2 linked regions of the Mytilus edulis genome follow. The protein of the gene in region 1 purifies or fractionates together with the protein of each later gene. This does not show direct contact. Links are inferred from orthologs where the notes say so. Each region holds a gene or a part of one and is shown on either strand. Other genes may lie near its edges.

Region 1 (3,762 bases):
CTGTCAATTTCAATTTCAAGGTAATTATTATTTCGCTTATGTATTTTGCTAATGTATTTTCATATTAGAGCTTAAACAACAACAGTCGTAAGATATTTCCATTTTATCTAGTGGCTAGAATATTTTACAACTTTACTACACATCATAGCCAATATACCAAGCTTTAAATATACAAAATATCAAGAAGTTGTTTTTTGTAGTTTCTAATTTGTAAGTTCACATTAAAACTCATATATCAAATATATCCTTGTACATTTAACTTACAGCTCCACAAGTTACAATCCTGTTACTTTTAGATGCCCATTCAATTCCCGTTACTTGTTGACCATGCTCTGTGAGACTGGCGGTTTCATCAAATTTGTTTCCACTTTTCTTGTAGATTCTCACTATTGAATCATTCTGAGATAGAGCAATTTCTGAAAAAAGAAAATTTTATAAAAATTTTCAACATCTGTCATTGCATAAACCCGTCCTAAGTCAGGAATCTGAAGTACAGTAGCTGTTCTTTGTTTATGTAATTTATACGTGTTTCTTGTTTCTCTTGTTTTATATAGATTAGACCGTTGGTTTTCCTGTTTAAATGGTTTTACACTAGTAATTTTGGGACCCTTTATAGCTTGTTTTTTCGGTAAGAGCCAAAGCTATATGTCGAAGGTCGTAAAATGACCTATAATGGTTTACTTGTATAAATTGTTATTTGGCTGGAGAGTTTTCTCATTGGCACTCACACCACATCTTTCTATATCTATCTACAATGTAAACAATTTTTTTCCCCATTTAATACCTGGTTTATATGTGCATTTGTATTTTTGACTTTACTTGCAGCTTACTTAGTCAGCAAATTGATTTCAGAAGTGTGTAAGTTTCTTGATGAATCTGATCCCCATTTTTGTGACAAACATAAACCATGACATATATACATGTCATGAGACGAGAGACTTGATAACAGCGGTTTCAATATTTCACTTTATTTTAATACATTTTCTAGTATTTCTTGTTTAATCTAGATTTGATACCAATTAAGAAACATGTAAGTAGGGTATTTTAAAGTACTTTTTTCAAACATTAAATGTAAGTTGCAAATCAAGCATTTTCCATAATGGCATATGAGTATGTTCAAAAATATTAGCATTTTTCATTTATTTGTCTGTTCTAAAAATGAATGAAAGGAGATATTGCATATATGATATATATGTCTGAAAAACACTCAGAATCCAATCAACACACAAGGTTGGTTTTTTTTTTAGGTAAAGCACCTTTTTTTATTATACACACCTGATCTATTACTATTCCATGCATGACATGAAACTGCTGTTACACCAAAACTATGCTTTTCTGTCATCTTTTTGTTTTACCAGACAAACTGAAATATACATGAACAGTTTTTATCATATTAATGGTGAACTTCTTTTAATACTTAACATATACGCTTATAATCGGTTTGATGATTACAATGTAACTATCACCGTTTCTAATTAAGAAAGTTTGAACCCCTGCTTTAAATTAATACATGTACTTTCCCGAACTCTGCTTAATACATCCTGTTGGATTGAATATTTTCATAGCATCAATTGTGAATTGATCTCTATTGGATCTGACACAGCTTTCGTTTAAATTAAATATTTTTTTTAATTCACATTTTTCAAGGCAGTGTCTGCACGTACCTGCACATTTATTCACATTAAGTATATTTTTATTCTTTTAACGTTCTTTTATAATTTTCATGTATCTTTCACATTTCATTCCTGATCCTATGACAGTTTATTATAAAGTCGGTTGCGGTAGGCATAGCCTACAAAGGGCAATTTGGCTAAGCATACACATATTCGGGTACGTGCAGACACTGCCTTTTTCACCCCTTTTATTTTTTAACGATCATTATGCATTTGAAAGGGGACATATGGTTGGACTTCTCTGCTTTTACCCCGGGTTGGTTACCCCCTTATAAATATAGCTCGATCTTCCAACTTCTCATTTGAGGAACTATTCCTCATTCGGATTTCTTTCCCCAACCTGATGAAGATGCTTCCGGGTGGGAGGATCTGCAAGTGCAATGTTTACAAACACCAATGGAGATACTTTTGCAACTCAAATATAAATATGCATACGTAACCAATATATATTCACCCCTTTTTACCTGAAAAAAATTGAGAAATTCCGTGGACTCTGATCAGTCAACACGAAAAGTTAGAGATAAAAGTTCTTCTTCACACTTGTTTCCTCTCTGACTAACCGGTACTTGTTTGATGTTCAACATAAAATATTTATCTTGAATTAAATCTATGTCTGAATAAGTAAATATAAATTTAAGCCATTGTTCATCTAATTCATTTATTATATATTTTTTGATAACTGTTTACTATTTTTTAGATGAAATAATATAATATTTTATTTTCTGTATGTTGTATATCTTAATAAATACTTCCTTCATGGGTCAAAGTGCAAAGGAAATACTTCCTTGTTGTGAATGTATACAAACTACATGTGCAGGATGTGTCCACTGAAAATGGCCAGTTTTCTTCTGTTTTTAGGCATTGCCATTCTTCAAAAGTCATTTGCTGATGTCAGCAGTGATGGGGTTATCATGCCAAGCAAATGTGAAGGTAATTTTTTATCACTAAAAAGTAATTTTATATTTAAAATAACTAAAAAATATATAAAGGCTGAAAAAGAAATTGATATTGTGAAAAAAAGAAGTATTCTCAGATTTTTTTTGTAATGAATCTCATTAAATATTAAAAGAAATTTAAAGTAAAATAATTTTATTTAATTTTTTACTAGAAAGTGCATTATCCACTATAAATCCAGATGGCATTCATTGATTGGCTGTTAAAAGGAATTATCTTCCTTATAGAATTTAAATCCCTGTATGAATATTTTATGCTGTACAAAATGTGTATTATGTCTTAAGAAAGCTTTCAATTATTTGCATTAGTCGAGATCAAATCTGTGCTTGTCTTTGTTTCCTTTTTAAAGACTTTTGAATATTACATTTGTCTCATCATTAACATTAAATTGCAAAAGGTATACATATATATACCTTAAATGTATTGCTTTATATTTATCTGGCAGTCTTTACATTTATCATGTTTATTTCTTCTTTTCTTTCAAAATTTAAAGATATATATGTTTTTTTTTTAATTTCTTCAGTTTCATTTATAAATAGTATAGACAGGTCTGAGGACCATCCCTTCAGAATGTTCAGAGACAGAAAAAAATTGATAACATAATTTCCCATAATAAATATGGAAAATTACAACAGCTGTAATTTAGGATGATGTAAAAGATAAAAGTCATCAAGTGAAGAGTCAAAAAAAAAAATATGTAGTTGCTGTCATAAATTTATACAGCTGTTGTGAAAGATAAAACTCAATAACTATATGTTTAGTTATACATTTTATATGTCATTGTCTTTCATAAAATTAATCAAAGAATTTTATAAAAAGGATCACTGCAGGTGATCAATGCGAAATCCTAAAATTGATAAATTTGAGTAGATTATGTTCCTATTTGAATGGTGTTTTTATACACACATTTGTCAGGGGAAATTGGAAGGATGAATAGGTCAGAGGAAATGAATGAGTTGAGGATGAATCTAGTATTTTTCTGTTAAACTTTTAGTCATAGTAAAAGTAAAATAGATTTTTTTCTGGCATCTACATCATATGTTGCTAATAAATATAGATTTGGTTGAGGGTGATAAGATAATCTTTTGAATCACAAAAGATTAGAAAAAAGTACTACAAATAAGGTGTAAGGGAG
Region 2 (3,762 bases), on another chromosome or scaffold:
TCGTAATCAGCTGATTAGCAAACTGCAAAAGATTGAATAGTGAATACAGATACTTATCATGCCATCAACAAATCGGAAGTGAAAACGTGAGGAAGAAAATGAGAAACAGGCCGCAAAATGCAGAAAGCTTTTATCATTTTTTTAAAGGTTTGTAGATTTTTATTACAAAATGGTTACGCACTTGCAATGGTGTTACTGTTATTTCGGGGGTAAAAATAAACTTTTGTCAAAGGGATAATTTAAGGTTAAAGTTGAGTTAGGCCAATGATCTCATGAAATCACTTGCATATTAATTACTTTCAATTAATTCATTTTTTCATCAAATTATTTTTTTTAAATTTACTTCTTCAGTTTTTAATTTGAATTAATTTAAGAAAGGAACAATTTATGAAAAAACTTCCAGATTATTTAAGATATTCTTGTTTTATGTGTAATTTATTTATTTTCAGCACCAAAGAGGCAGAAATAGACTGAATGTGTCAACTGTAAACAATCTTGTTCTAGTGTCAGCAAATAGATGATTTGGATATCAGGGAATGTGTCAACCTGTTTTTAGGGGAAAAAAGGAGGATTTGTCAATGACAATTAATATGACAAAAGCAATATTTTTATATATATATATGACATAGTTCTTTCTTGTTTTTAAACATTTTTAAAGAACTGATTTTGTTTTTAATTGTGTTTATTGTTTTAAATATTTCATATATATGTTTTAAACACTTTTTCTTGTTTAACAATTTGTTTTAATGATTGATTACAGATGTATATGTCCTTTTTATAGCATTAAACTAGTATGTTTTAAATGAATCCATTTTATAGAAATTGCCTGTTTATATTAAGTAAGTGCCCTAAAATTGTTGTCCATCGTGCTTAATGTGCCCTCTGAGCTAACAATTACCCTGCCCTTTTTAAAAGCTGCAGGAAACACTAACAACATACATCATTGTACATGTAACCTGCTAAAAGTAAATAAAAGAGAATTATCATTAGCTGCTTTGTAACTTTTGATAATTTGAATTAGAGTCAGAATAAGTTCAAATGAACAAACCAAGACTTAAAATTGGTATTAAGATTGGGAATAATAACAAGCAGGATATGAAATCAAATCTTCCTGATAACTGACAATCATGACAATGAGAGAAAACAATTTTCAAAATAACGTCTAGAATCTTATTTACATTTCATAACCTAGAAAATACATGCAATCTTTTCTACCACATATAAATGAAACTGAATTCAAAGAAGACCAATCCATTGTCAAATTTTTATTTCAGGCTTTGCTAGTTTTGGACTCCTGTAATCATGTTTCGACAGTCTGCACTAAATACTTTTTGACTACTAGTCTAAAGACCCAATATTAAGAGGTTTTTTTTTATGTGTCTAAACAAAGTTTTTAATAAACTAACTAATTCGAATAAAGTTTAATTAGTCTTGGGCACCAGACTAGTGGCTAAAGCCAGTAGCACTGTTAGTACATTTGTAACAGCGCAGAGAGGCGGATTAGTAACGGTGCACACAGAGTGACACAGTATGAAATTAGCAGAGGCACACTCACCAATGGCCCCTAAAATTTGGTGTGGGCTACTGAAATTTCTTCTTCCCTAATTTAAAACTATATATATTGTCTACAAATTTAAGCTGTGGGCAACCGTGCCAAAATCTTAACTTCAATCCCTGGCAACAGGGGCGGATACAGCCATTTAAAAAAAAATGGGGGGTGTGTTCCGAACCCAGGATAGACAGGGGAGGGGAAGGAGGTCCAACCATATGTCCCCATTCAAATGCATTGATCTTCCAAAAAAAAGGTACATATAGGGTCCAACCACCCCCCTCCACCTAGATCCGCCATTTGCGCAGACTGTTTGGAACCTGTTTTTTTAGAAAACAATACCGCAAGCAAATTTACTGGTACTCAAGATGCAAGTAAAGTTTTCAATGCCTTTCCAAGATTAGAAAAGTTCATTGCATTAAAACTTCAAAATTGTCAACACTACAACAGGGGTAGTTGGCAAATAAAAGTATTGGGTAATAGACATTTGTGGATCATGTTGATAGAATGCAGATTCATAAAGTAATATGTGCAAAGTGAAAATGAATTACATATGTTTGTGTTCATTTAGTGTAGTTTGTGCATTTTTATTCGTATAGTTTTATGCATTAAAAATATAAAGATAAATAGTAAGGAACTCTATATTGACACTTCCGGGTTTGTTTACAAATTTAAAATCATTAGAACGGTAAAGTATGAAATATTTTTTTCAAAGTGCTTACTCCTGTGCCATTATCACAGACAACAACTTTCCTTCCATCTTTATCCATGGCAGATGGTGATGGATTCAGCAGTAATATGCAAACTTTGGTCTTTTCCTTCTAGCAGACAAACCGGAAGTTAACACCCCGGCATTTGACTCACAACGGGAAATACGTTACAAGGTCCGTGATTAGTTATTGTAAAATCTATAGCCAATCAAATGTTCTGTTTTATCAAATCATTTCAACAACAACAATGGCAGCCACCAGCCAAGTTTTGACAGCTGTTTTACTTTTTCTTATTTTCACAAATATAAAAGGAAAATACAAACAGATTGAAATTGAAATAGCAGGAAAGAACGAAAATGAACCTGCAAAGATTTTCTCAGAATCTGAACTCAGACAATTCGATGGATCTGATGTACGACTAACAAATATGTTTTTTTTTCTGAAAAAGGGGGAGCGGATAATTTGGTTAAGTTTGCCGTGAACAGGACATACATTTGCTTCAAAAAATTATATTCCTTCCATCAAAATTTATATTTACAATCTCTTTGTAAAAATTCAGTGTGGGGAAGCAGGATAAATTGCTCTACTGACAAACCGCCCCACTTTTTCACCAAAGTGCCCACAGGCACTTGTTTCTATCCATTGGAAGACCCACTATCAATGTACATTTACGTAAATGTACGTGGCCAACTCGCCCCTCTTTAATGAAAACAAATCTACAAACAATTCAAAATATTAAATAATTAACGAGTTCTGTGCCATAGGGCCGATGATCGGCCCAAAGTCATACTCCTTTCAGTGCCAAAGGGCCGATTCATCGGCCGATTGAAATGATGTTATGAACTACGTAATGTACTATGACGTCGCCGTTTTTGTGATAAATCTAATTCCTCCGTCTTGAAACATTCGCGCGTTTTTTTACCAATATTAAAAGATATGAAAGGGGAGCTTTTTTATGAAATTTATGAAAATAAAATTATGTAAGGATGCGTTTATAAATATATATAAAATTATATAATATTTAGAACTATAGAGTTTCAAATCCACTCTTTTTTCCCGACGCTATTGCAGTAGGCCATTTAGTATATTTATATATTCTAGGCTTACTTTCCTAAACTGCCTAAAGTTTTTAAGCATTTACTTTCCAAAATTGTAAGAATATAATAAAAATAAAATTTTACATACATAAAATAAAGAAGATAGAAGTTATTCAAATACCTTTACAAAGAACGGATTAGAAAAAGCGCAAAAAAAAATCAAAAACATAAAAAGATGAAAAAGTACGCAAAAAGTGCACTACATGTTAATGACGTAATTTATCTAATGACGTGATTCGTGTATAACGAATCCATCGGATTATTGCTAATCCTTATCCGTGGTTATCCTCCTGAGTGAGGGATCACACATTATTTAACCAGAATGTAGGCCATATAAAAGAATACTGCAGGGAAATTTCAAAACCATTGCCTATATCGTGCTGATTTTCACAATTCATTCGACGAA

The links. Proteins that work in one complex are often made in the same cells at the same time.
Region 2: the proteins of actin-related protein 2/3 complex subunit 1A-B-like (region 1) and actin-related protein 2 purify together in Homo sapiens (affinity purification with mass spectrometry; 9 studies listed by BioGRID and IntAct, counting the BioPlex papers as one, with this or other methods). This does not show direct contact. The link is inferred for Mytilus edulis from reciprocal best matches to the Homo sapiens genes ARPC1A and ACTR2.

What each region holds. Positions count from the first base shown.
Region 1 is NC_092352.1:40,470,446-40,474,207, forward strand, and holds the start of actin-related protein 2/3 complex subunit 1A-B-like, read right to left. Parts: upstream 2,253-3,762; 5' UTR 2,138-2,252; intron 1,364-2,137; 5' UTR 1,343-1,363; coding exon 1,276-1,342; intron 417-1,275; coding exon 265-416; intron 1-264. Other genes in the region: protein canopy 4-like, read left to right, coding at 2,468-2,603. UniProt on the Homo sapiens protein: Probably functions as a component of the Arp2/3 complex which is involved in regulation of actin polymerization and together with an activating nucleation-promoting factor (NPF) mediates the formation of branched actin networks.
Region 2 is NC_092346.1:18,321,882-18,325,643, reverse strand, and holds the start of actin-related protein 2, read right to left. Parts: upstream 2,431-3,762; 5' UTR 2,320-2,430; coding exon 2,272-2,319; intron 1-2,271. Other genes in the region: uncharacterized protein, read left to right, coding at 2,507-2,671. UniProt on the Homo sapiens protein: ATP-binding component of the Arp2/3 complex, a multiprotein complex that mediates actin polymerization upon stimulation by nucleation-promoting factor (NPF).